Oryza sativa Japonica Group: one gene and its partners. The protein of the gene in region 3 binds, or shares a complex with, the protein of the main gene of each other region. Links are inferred from orthologs where the notes say so. Each region holds a gene or a part of one and is shown on either strand. Other genes may lie near its edges.

Region 1 (4,118 bases), on a different chromosome or scaffold from region 3:
ATTTCTGGTAACTTGACTGCTAGACTTACATAATAACTAGAGAAAATAGTTTGATGCACACTAATTAACTAGAGAAAAACTACTGGGCAATTGAACGTCCCAAACCATGAGATCCTTACCACGTATGTGACCTAAATTAAAGTAAACAAAGCTACCATCAAATATATTGTCAGGATCATGACAAACTCCAGCTATCAGTCTACCACCAATATCGTCAAGCTTTCCCAGCATTCAGTTTCCACTCTTCAGTAAAAGCAAGCAATGATCAGTGTTCATTTACCAGTCTCCAAAGCAAGGTAGGCAGCATTTAGCATGTCATTACAAGAAAAACCATGGTGCTACTGACTAAAAGTTACAGAACTAAAGATGGCAACAATGTTTTAAGTGGGATGGTCAATGGAGATCATCATGGCATTGCAGCCAACACATATGACCGATCACAACGTTTTACCACCACCACCACCACCACTTGACATGAGTGAGGCGGCAGCAGCGCCTGCAGTCGGGACGATTCCAGTCGAATTGCCTGGTTTAGAGAGATGCAGAAGCCTGCAGTGTGTTTTGCAGTCAAAAGTGAGAAAATTCGTTTATGCCAGTCTAGTAATAATCTTGAGATAGCTAAGGAACACTTAGTTACTTACGGTGCTAGATATTCACAGAACGAAGTGACGGCTGAAACGACATCGTTGTAATTGTCAGCAGCAGCAGGGGCCGTGATTTCCACTAGCTGTATTGCAGGAGTGATTGGCACAGCTTCGTTGGTAGCATGGAGTTTTGTCATCTTGCTAACAGAGGTAACGGTCACAGTTATCTGGGCACCTCGGTGGAAACGAAATGCAAATCCTCCCTTCAGAACTTCATGATCTAACTTGTACCCTATACCGTAGAAGTAACGCAATACATTGTTGCTGGCTTTGCTCTCTACAATTGACCGCACAAGGACTGAGATTTGCTCTGCACCAGCACCTCTCATGGCACCTCCAACATGTCTTATGGTCCTACATGAATACTACTGGATTCAGAATATCATCAAATATCACAAAAATGTAAATTTTAGCAGCTGAAAGAAAAGTTACCAGGATGGCGTGGACTGAGCTAAGTCACACAATAAACGAACCTCTGATGGGACAACTCCTGTATGATTGGAAGATGTATATGAGTAACAATGGCATATGATCAGAATAATGAAAAAGTTGCAAACTGACCTAGATTTGGCCCACTTTTAAGACAGAGCTCATGCACTCTGACACGTTCTTTTGGGACACCAGAGAGGCCCTGGAGAAGAACCTCAAGAGCATCAACATGCTGCATAACAAGAAGATCAACCAAAAGTTACACTGATGTCAAAGCAATGAAAACTAAAAAAGGTTAAATGGTGTTCTAAGCACAAGACATTGACATGTGTATATAAATTAATCCCTTTATTGTAAAATTACAAACCATATAAGTGATATGATTCCTCCAATTGTATATAAAATAGAACCATATCAACATATTGAAAAGAGAATCAAAAAAAGTCTGCAAGTGGCAGAAGTAGTGCCCTCAGAGTGGAGAAACATGGTTGACCATATAGTGGTCAGCATGATCAACTGTATACTTTTTTTTTATTATCCTGAAGGGAAGTGTTGATATGCTGACAAGAGGAAGCTATAAGAGACTAACAAAAGGTCATATAGAGACAATGGATCGACGACAAAGTCTTAATGCTGGCATGAATTATTATTCTCTATTCCCTGATGTGTTTCGTTCAAGAAAAAAGAAATTCTCTATGGACATAAAGTTCCAATACTACTTCATGCTATATGGAGTGAAAAAATAACTTTGTTCCTAAGTAGGACTATTGAGATGTAATTTGACATTGGGGCTATGCAGTTGATAGATTTGCTACCTGGGATAGCTTAAGTGTTACCTTTCAAAAGGTTTTATCACAATTACATTTACAGAGGTCTGTTTTCAGGCAATTGACACCTCCAACAACAAAAATGCTATCTTAAATCAAGTGATAGAAAGTTCATTTAGTAAACGTCGAAATTCTACATTCCAACTCCTTTGGATAAGGTTACTACAAAGCGAAAGGCCAAATAACCTTATGCCAAAAATTAAATAAAATTCAGAATTCTAGATACAACATACAAGTAAGGAGCGCAAATGTCAGATCAGCAAACTTGACTAGTACCGATTTCCCAGAAAGGCCTACCATCATACAAAAATCAAGAATCCATGAAGAACATCACATCTACCATCACTCCGGCTTATGTTACGGGCCATGTATGATTTTCCGGGTAAAAGTTCAAATTGGTCATGTTTTACAGCATAAACAGACAAATCAGTTTCATATGAACAAAAATGCATCGTTGCATAGCTACAGATCACTCATTCTCGGAAGAAACTACCGTTCACTTCAACAACCGCTCACACAGTCACCACTCATACAAGTCTACTGGCGAAGTGAGAAAGAAGAACAATAACCTGGGTCTCGATGATCCCCTGCACCACGCACTCCATCAACCCCACCGCTTCTCGCTACCACAATCCCTGCAAGAGAGACAAACCCTGAAACCACGCTGCGGAATTTCGTCGAACAGCTACCTCGCAGCAACAAAAATTCACCCCCACCTTTAACCTAACAGCAATAATCCGCGGCGCGGCGGGGGCTGAGGCGTCGGGAAGTGAGCCGATCCGAGGCGCAAGAGCTCCCCCCACCTCGCAAACCCCGCGTCCCCGAACACTCCCCTCTCCGCCACTGACCGCTCGCCGTCCTCCGCCGCCTCCTCCTCCTGCAGCGATGGAGACGAGAAGAAAGAATTCCGAGAAACCGAGGGGGGTAAAGTGATAAAATGCCTCACCCCCGCGCGAAGGGTCGCGGCGTTTTTGCATCTAGGCCCCTGGAAGAATCTGAAATTTCAGTCATACCCTTCCTCTGACTTCTCCTCTTCCTCTTCCTCCCCCACGCGCTCGTCTCGTCTTCCTCTCGAATTCCCATTTTCTTCCACCTCCTCCTCGTCTCGAGGTCTCAGATCCAATGGCCGCGACGGCGACGGCGACGACCACCGCGTAGAGCGCGTGAGAGTCTGCGTGGACGGCTAACTATGGCCTCGCCGGCGGGGGCAATCGGCGGCGCGTCGCCGTCGGGGCGGGTGCTGGGCCCTGCGCTGGACCGGATCATCAAGAACGCGGCGTGGCGGAAGCACTCGGGCCTCGTGGCGGCCGCCAAGGCGGCGCTCGACCTGCTCTCCTCGTCGGCGTACGCGTCGGCGTCGGCGCCGTCGCCGCCGTCGCTGCTGCTCGGGTTGCCGGCGGCCGCCGCGGACGCGTGCATCCACGCGCTCCTCCTCGCGCTCGAGTCGGCGTCCCCCAAGGTCGCCGACCCGGCGCTCGACTGCGTCGCCAAGTTGCTCTACCACCGCCTCCTCGTCGGTGATCTCGGCGGTGGCGGCGGCGACGACGACTCCCCGTCCTCCAAGCTGCTCGCCGCCGTGCTCTCCTGCGGCGCGCTCGCCGACGACGCCATGGAGCTCTCCACCCTCCGCGTCCTCGTGGCCGCCGCGCGGTGCCCCTCCGTCGCCATCCGCGGGGAAGGGCTCGGCCAGATGCTCAAGACCTGCTACAACATATACCTCAGTAGCAGCAGCGGCGCCAACCAGCTCTGCGCTAAGCTGGCGCTGGCGCAGGTGCTGGTGATCGTGTTCGCGCGCGTGGAGGTGGACTCCATGGATGTGCGCGTGCGCACGGTGTCGATCACCGACATGATGGACATGTCTGACCGCAACCTGAATGACTCCAGCATTGTCCATGCGGCGCAGAGCTTCATAAACGAGACGATGGAGGGAAGCGATGTCCCTGAGCCGGGGTCCCCGGTTGAGCCGGCCGAGACGGATGGGAAGGAGGATGTTGTCATGAGCAAGATCAGGGAGGATGGGTTGACACTGTTCAAGAACCTGTGCAAGCTGTCCATGAAGTTCTCGACGCCGGATAATCCCGAAGATCAGGTCCTGCTGCGCGGGAAGGTGTTGTCTCTTGAGTTGCTCAAGATGGTTATCGACAATGCTGGGGCATTCTGGAGAACGAATGAAAAGTATGATATGATACTCATTATTGTCTTACTTCTGTGCATTTTA
Region 2 (3,972 bases), about 19 Mb from region 3:
CGTTTTGCGTGAAACACTTAATCTTCATCTTCAGGAGATTCAAACACTACCTAATCATTTTTTTATTTGACTATCAATTTAGATTTGATCTTTTAAATATTAAGAAATTTAAGGGGCAACTTACAAAATTTACAATGAGGGTAGGTATGATGACATATTCACTATATGACATATCTCCGTTTTTTTTTTTGAAGAAGTATAGATTAGACCAATTGACTAGCCGACTGGGTACATCGGTCGTACTCCCCAAAATGGCACCAACCTAACCTAATGCTATATTAGATTCTGCTATAACTTATAATCAACTAAGGAGTATATTACATCAATAAAAGAAATATCTACCGATAACATTAAGTTAATTGTGACTATCACTGATCGATTAATTAGATGTATTTATGACAACCGCATGCATACGTGTCGAGCAGCAAAGAAGTGTGTTCACTTTTATGCTACAGTAAAAAAATCAGAAAGTCACGAAGTCAAGCAATATATGTTGCCATATTTGATGTTTAACACAAGATTAAATACACAAACATAAAGATAAATGGGACTTAAACAATATGCATAGGAAAAAAAATATTAGCATTTCATGTTTCTTTTTTCTAAAATACAACGGAAATTCACTGACTCCATATGTTCATATTGTAATCTAAGTTTATCTTTCAGTTAAACTTCTCTAACACCGGTTGGCTTTATAAAAAAAAATACAAAATCTGTAACACCAAATTAGTTTAATTAGATTCATCATGAAATATGTCTTTATTGCATTTATTTATTATTTTATATATTGGTGCATTTTATTCAAACTCAGACAATTAACTTAGAAAAAAATATTTATAGACCTAGAATTTTTCCCAAATAGAATTCCAGATTTATTTTCCAAATAGAAATATCATAAATATCATTATATATATATATATATATATGTATATATATATATATATGTATATATATCTATATATCTAATAAATCAAACTAAGTCTAAATAACTCTAAAACATTTATACATCCTAACAAAGGTATAAATATTTACAGGGTACTTTTAAGCTATGTTCTTCCCCCCATTTTCCCAACCCACCTATCTTGTTTTCCACGTGTACGCTTTTCAAACTGCTAAACGGTGTGATTTATAAAAAAACTTTATATATAGAAGTTGTTTAAAAAAATCATATTAATCTATTTTTTAAAATAAAATTAGATAATACTTAATTAATCATGCAATAAAATAAACTTCGTTTTGCGTGGCAGGAGGAGGGGTTCCCAAGCCCCTCCTCTGAACACAGCCTTAGTAGGTGCGCCAGGCGCACCCATTTTCTAGTAGTTTTTGGAAGAAGGGTTTCATTGCAATTTTGCGATCCCCACCTCTCTCTCTCTCGTCTCTCGCTCTCATGGCCGAGCCGCCGTCGCAGTCGCCGGCGCAGACGCCGCCGCAGGCGGCGCAGCAGCAGCAGCAGGGGCCCGGGGAGAGCGCGCGCGACGACATGATGGCCTGCGTGGCGGCGCTGGAGGCGGCGCTGCTGCCCTGCCTCCCCGCGCGCGAGCTCCAGGCCGTCGACCGCTCCCTCCAATCCTCCCACCAGAGTACGTCGGACTCACTGAGACTGACCCCGCCGCTCCCCCTCTCTCCTCCCTCTGCAGCCTCCCTTCCCCGTCGTTCTTGCGCTTCCCCCGGCCAAGATTTGGCGCGGCTGGTTTGGTTCGACTCGCCCGCCCGCCAGGTGTTCGCTGTTTTGCCTACGAGGTGGGGATTAGGAAGCCCCTCGTGCTCTAGCAAAATGTGGCGAAGTTATTTTTTCTTTTTACTTGCGCTGTTGGTACGCGGGCGTCTCGCGGGTGCTGAGATGAGATTGAGAGGGTGGCATTTGAGCGTTCTACATCTGTGTGCTCAACTGTCGATGTAGAAATTGGATTCTTTTGCTTTGTTGCTGGTTAGCAAAATAGGGATTCTAAGGTGTTGTGGTTGTTATAATGTGGAACAGTTGATGTTGAGAGGCACGCGAGGGATTTCATGGAGGCTGCGAAGAAGCTCCAGTCTTACTTCATCAGCCTGCAGCGCGAGGACCGACCGTCGACAGAAGAAATGCTTCGAAAGGTACATTGCATTGCTTTCGGAACAACTTTGCTTCGAAAGGTACTCCTTGACTTCGAAATGATTAGCAAATTAGAACTTTGTGATTAGCAAATTAGCCTGTAGGTAGAACTAGGACCTTGTTTGGGGGAGCTTAAGATTTTGAGAAGCAATTGGTTGGTAGTCAGTTTATGAGAATATGAAGAAGCTGGAAAGTTAGGTTTCTTGTTTCTAGTTTATTTTCTGTATTCTTTAACTACATCTTCTCAGAATCTAGATGAAAAGCTGAACTGTTTGAGTGAGCTTTTAATTTTAGGAAAAGCTGCAGCTGCCAAAAGCTCCCTCAAACATGCCCTAGGTTGGGTAAGCACAGAGTAACGATTTGACACCAGAGTACACAGACATGGGAGGCTGAGAGCTTGGGGATGGCGAGGGAAAAGGTCTAAAAAATATTCAATTTTCAAAGATAAGGGCTTGAGTTTGTCTCTTTTACAGTCTTGAATTGACTGGGCCAGCTCTAAATCAGTCCCGTATTGTTAGCACTAATTCTCTGAGATGTCTAATTGAAGTTTTTTTTCTGTGTTAGTACTCGTTGTGCTCAACATTTTAGAGTGCTTGAGATCCAATGGTTTTTAATATTTGGCCCATCAATAAGTTTAAAGCTATCTAGATTGGTTGTATAAAATCCATTTGACCCTCTCTTTGAAATCAATTATATTGATGTTATATTGCAACCGTTGTAAAAAAAAAATTGTGCATCGATTTTTCTCTATAAGCTTCATGGGAGAAATCAAGAGAAATCCTATATGGCGTGGTCCCCAAGCTGTAATAATCAAATAATAATGTGTCATCATGTTTTAACATGTCCAGTTTCGGTTTGCAGGATATTGCTATAATGGAGGAAGAGCTGAAGACCAAGTCCGAGCTCATCGACAAACATAAGAAGCTCATCGAAGGGTGGCAGAAAGAGCTGAAGGACCAGCTGGGAAAGCATGTTACTGAACTCGAAAGAGTGTGACACCACTGTCTTCCATGAAATGTCCCAGGCTCCTTCCGATGATCAACCTGAGTAGCCCAGTGCTGGGCTATGCCTTGGAGATTTTGAGTACGCCAGCCAGGAAAAAAAAAACACCACAACAATGTTTTAGGATCTGACCAGTTTGCCGAAGACGAACAAATTGCGCTGTATTAATGTTCGTTGCTATGTTCGGTTTATCATAATATTATTGTTCGTAGTTTCTCGTGTGCTCTCCATCTCATCGTGTTAGGCATGCCTAACATGTTAAACTTTTAGATTTTTCGGAGCAACATCTTTTTCCCGATTATAGGAGTGTATGATAACATGTGTGTTCAATGGAATTGTCTAATTGCCTCACTTGTCATTTTAGATGTTTCTTTCAACATATTAATGATTTAATGGTAATTGAATCCCACAGTTGCTGTCAGGTGACCATGGTGACACAACTACACAAGTATGACTATGAGATGGTAAATATTTTAACGAGGCTAACAGCAATAGCATAAATGTAAATCGTCTCAAGCTGCCATATTTTACACAAGGGAACACGAGTGGAACTAACTAGGAGAACTCACGACTGCAAAGATGGTTCAAATTTCATCTCATTCCTGAAACACACACGGGCAGCTGAGCAGTAGTACATTAACATGGTTGTCATGGTGTAGTCTACCTAACAATGAAAATCTATGGATTATGCGAAAACTTGGGACTACAACATTCATCGAGCAAGTCAATAGTACATTTACTTCTTCGCATACGAGATAAGCATCTGGTTATCTTTCGTAATTTTGAACCCCTGAAGATGGTTCATGGCAGCGGTAGCCTGCCCCTCGTCGCCGTACTCCACGAAAGCAATCCCAGGCTTTGCTTCAACCATTCTGACTTCC
Region 3 (3,525 bases):
GTCTTGTGCATACAGATGTCAGCAACAAGTTAGATCTTGTCCCCAAATATGACATAAAAAGGAAAGAAAATATACCAGCTAGGCTATCTATTGATGTTGATCATGAAGTATATGACAGATCATTAGAAAATGTTGGAGTTTGGAAGCCTGTGGGGACACCTAAAGGGCCAACACATCTAGAGTCTTTTTCTGCTAAAACGTATACTGGTACAAGCCAAGGTCTGCCTGTAAAAAGACAGCCTATTGTGGATCTTCTCAGCGCCATGGCTCTGATAGTTCAACAATCTACTTCGTTTGTTGATATCGCACTTGATATGGATGATGGAGATGGCTCTTTTTTCTGGCTTTCCTTGGATGAACAAAAGAGACGTGGATTCTCTTGTGATCCTTCAATGGTTCATGCTGGCTGCGGCGGAATATTAGGAACGTGCCATTCAAAGGATTGTGCTGGTGTTGATTTAGTTGACCCACTTTCTGCAGAGGTAAAACATGGTTCTGTTCATGTTCCTATCATTATATCGTTCACATTTTCTCCTAATGCCAAAGTTTATGCCCAATCTCTTCTTTTGGATACAGGTTTCAGACTCATCTGTGATTAGCTTGTTACAGTCTGATATAAAAGCGGCTCTTAAAACTGCCTTTGCCAACATGGACGGTCCATTATTAGTGACTGATTGGTGCAGGGGTCGAAGTAATGCAGCTGAGTATGCATCTATGGGAGATGCATACTCTTTTCAGCACCCAACTGGTGATATCCGGGAGTCCTCAAGCAGTATATCCATAGGTGGAGATTCAATGAGCCCACCCCAATCAAGTCATGTTATATCTAATGACCGAGGTATTCCCACTTGATACTTCTTTCACAAAAGTAATATTTCAGAGCAAGCAAGAAATTATGATTCATCCGAGAGATCAAATGTCTATGCAGGCACTTCGGAGCTGGAGCACCATAGGGGATATCACCGTGTTAGACCAACCGTTGCTGTCCTCCCTTTGCCTTCTCTGCTTGTCGGGTAGCCTAATTTCTTTCCCTGGATTATTGTTGGCCTTAACTAAACATATTGTCTGTGTGAGTTACTGATTCAAGTATTGTAACCGCAGTTACCAGGATGATTGGTTAAAGACCTCTGCTAATTGTCTTAGCTTGTGGGAGAAGGCTCCTCTGGAACCTTATGCTTCACCAAAGCCTGTAAGTATTATTGGATTTTGTGGCTTATAATCCATAAGTTTGATACTTTTGGATCTATTAATTGTTTAAAGTATCGCCTCTCATCCATAATTACTTTACATCAGTGCATAGTAACTATAATCCATATAGTTTTTGTAGCCATAACAGCGAAATGTTGCTAGAATCGATAAAGGTTTCATTATATTTAATTAATTAATCATTATCGACTTATATATCTCTTATGTGTGTGCTCTTTTAGGTTACTTATTATGCTCTGTGCCCTGATATTGAAATGCTTACTTCTGCGGCCACTGATTTTTTCCTGCAGCTTGGAACAAGTAAGTTCTTCCTCTTCCTCTTGCTTTTGTTACCACCTATGAATGTACAACTGTTATTGGAACACACATTCAGGATTACGGACCATGGTCAGCTAATTGCAGTTTCCACTGGCTTCTGAAAAATGAAAATCTATTTATTTTGGACAGTTTGATATAATATAGTTACACATTTGGTTGTGCCGAATGCTTAGAATATACTTGTATATTTACAAACCAAAAGAAGAACGAAAGAAAACCAGCTAATTTTGGCAAATGGGATTCCCAATTTCGTGAAGCTCTTGAACAAGTGTGACACACAGTCCAAATGTGATTGAGCTTGTCATAGTAATAATGGTGGGAGGCAGTCTGACATTGCTTGGTTAGGGAATGAAAACTCAACACTTTAGGTTGAATTACCATTCAACATATTCAACTAATGGGATGGTACGTATTCTGTGATAACAGATGAAGAACGGAGGGAGAAGCTAACCAAATTGACACCTTTCGGCAGTAATGCTAACTGCTGTAATGCTGTTAACTGTTTCTAATTTACCATTTCTCCCTCAATATTTTCTTTGACCGAAGAACAGTATATTTCTTCCTCAATATTGACTACCGAGTGCCAAATAATATCCTGGGTGCTTCATATGAAATTAAGAGACAAAATTGCTAATTAACCATAAGCTTAGATGATACGTAAATTTAACATGACATTTTTACAGTTGATCTTTTCTGTGCTTCTAAGATGACATATTTGACATCAAAATCATGTCTGTGACTTTGAACATTTTAATCTAGTCATTGTTGGTGACAGTATATAGGTTTAATGTTACCATGATCTTTTGGTACTGAAGTTGCTTGCCATATTTTGTTAATCTTGTAATCAATCCATTGTGCTGGAAGTGTTTTCGTTATTGTTTATTGCACTTATTGATTGTTCTTTCCTACAGTTTATGAAGTTTGCAAACTGGGAACTCACTCTCCACAAAACAGTGGAGGGCAAATGGAACTATCCCCTGGAAAATATTTGTCTTCAGGGCTCGTTCTCACCGAGTGTCCTGATCAAGTGAAGATTGGAAACGGCCACTCAAGTTCCATCAGTTCAACAAGCGAATATCTTCAAGCTCTTTCAAGAAACTGGACTGTGAAAAGCTTTGTGACATCTCTGACAAGGGTGATAAAGGACATAAAACTAAATTCAAGCATCTTGGCAAATCAGAAAGAAAGCACTAGTGGACCTTGCACTGTAAGGCCTTTTTTTTGCATTTTGTCCCTTTCACATCTGTTCGATTGAAATAATTTAACAAAACAAAAGCAGCATCTCTCTCCTGTAATGTCTTTGCACTTTGCACAGATAACCTCACTGTTTATTCTTATTTGTTTTCTCTTTAGTCCATCTGCCCTAAGCATTGAATTTCAGAAGATTCACTTGCTTCCTTTCCTTCAATTTTTTTCATGAGAACAGTAGGGGATACGTAGAAAGCCCCAACATTAAAACTGTACAGAAGAATTTTCAAATGAAAAGCATAGATAACTGTTTGACATGTAGTTATTCAATTGTAATATAACAATTTAGTACCACCTTTATTTCGTATATAATTTGTTCTTCTAGGCTATTTTCTAGACATTGTACTTGTACTATTTTCATTCTTTGTTCTTTTCAAATTGTGCTGGAAAACACTGTTTCAACACACCATTATATAGAACACATTATTTTAACACAAATTGTTTGTTCTTTGTAAATTGTGCTGGAAAACAGGCCAACAGTAGCAATATGATAACACTTATTATCCATGCAGGTAATTTATGTAGTCTGTCCATTTCCCGAACCTTCTGCTGTCCTAGAGACACTGGTAGAATGTTCTGTTGCTCTTGGGTCGGTAATGTTATCCCCAGAGAGAGAAAGGAAATCATTCCTATATTCTCAGGTTGCCAAAGCCCTAAACTGCAATGCTTCTGTTGATGAATCATCAGCATCTAATGTTGTGATGCTCTCTGGTTTCAGTATACCTAAGCTTGTCTTGCAGATTGTTACTGTTG

The links.
Region 1: mediator of RNA polymerase II transcription subunit 13 (region 3) and mediator of RNA polymerase II transcription subunit 18 share a complex: the UniProt entries of both Arabidopsis thaliana proteins name them as parts of the mediator complex. The link is inferred for Oryza sativa Japonica Group from reciprocal best matches to the Arabidopsis thaliana genes GCT and AT2G22370.
Region 2: mediator of RNA polymerase II transcription subunit 13 (region 3) and mediator of RNA polymerase II transcription subunit 28 share a complex: the UniProt entries of both Arabidopsis thaliana proteins name them as parts of the mediator complex. The link is inferred for Oryza sativa Japonica Group from reciprocal best matches to the Arabidopsis thaliana genes GCT and AT3G52860.

What each region holds. Positions count from the first base shown.
Region 1 is NC_089036.1:5,238,052-5,242,169, reverse strand, and holds mediator of RNA polymerase II transcription subunit 18, read right to left. Parts: upstream 2,810-4,118; 5' UTR 2,617-2,809; intron 2,536-2,616; 5' UTR 2,506-2,535; coding exon 2,470-2,505; intron 1,306-2,469; coding exon 1,206-1,305; intron 1,135-1,205; coding exon 1,077-1,134; intron 999-1,076; coding exon 642-998; intron 550-641; coding exon 438-549; 3' UTR 250-437; downstream 1-249. Other genes in the region: brefeldin A-inhibited guanine nucleotide-exchange protein 1, read left to right, coding at 3,090-4,075. UniProt on the Arabidopsis thaliana protein: Component of the Mediator complex, a coactivator involved in the regulated transcription of nearly all RNA polymerase II-dependent genes.
Region 2 is NC_089039.1:3,232,284-3,236,255, reverse strand, and holds mediator of RNA polymerase II transcription subunit 28, read left to right. Parts: upstream 1-1,315; 5' UTR 1,316-1,387; coding exon 1,388-1,580; intron 1,581-1,978; coding exon 1,979-2,091; intron 2,092-2,950; coding exon 2,951-3,085; 3' UTR 3,086-3,442; downstream 3,443-3,972. Other genes in the region: U1 small nuclear ribonucleoprotein A, read right to left, coding at 3,828-3,972. UniProt on the Arabidopsis thaliana protein: Component of the Mediator complex, a coactivator involved in the regulated transcription of nearly all RNA polymerase II-dependent genes.
Region 3 is NC_089039.1:22,057,465-22,060,989, reverse strand, and holds part of mediator of RNA polymerase II transcription subunit 13, read left to right. Parts: coding exon 1-482; intron 483-576; coding exon 577-838; intron 839-928; coding exon 929-1,013; intron 1,014-1,101; coding exon 1,102-1,189; intron 1,190-1,427; coding exon 1,428-1,506; intron 1,507-2,435; coding exon 2,436-2,731; intron 2,732-3,284; coding exon 3,285-3,525. UniProt on the Arabidopsis thaliana protein: Component of the Mediator complex, a coactivator involved in the regulated transcription of nearly all RNA polymerase II-dependent genes.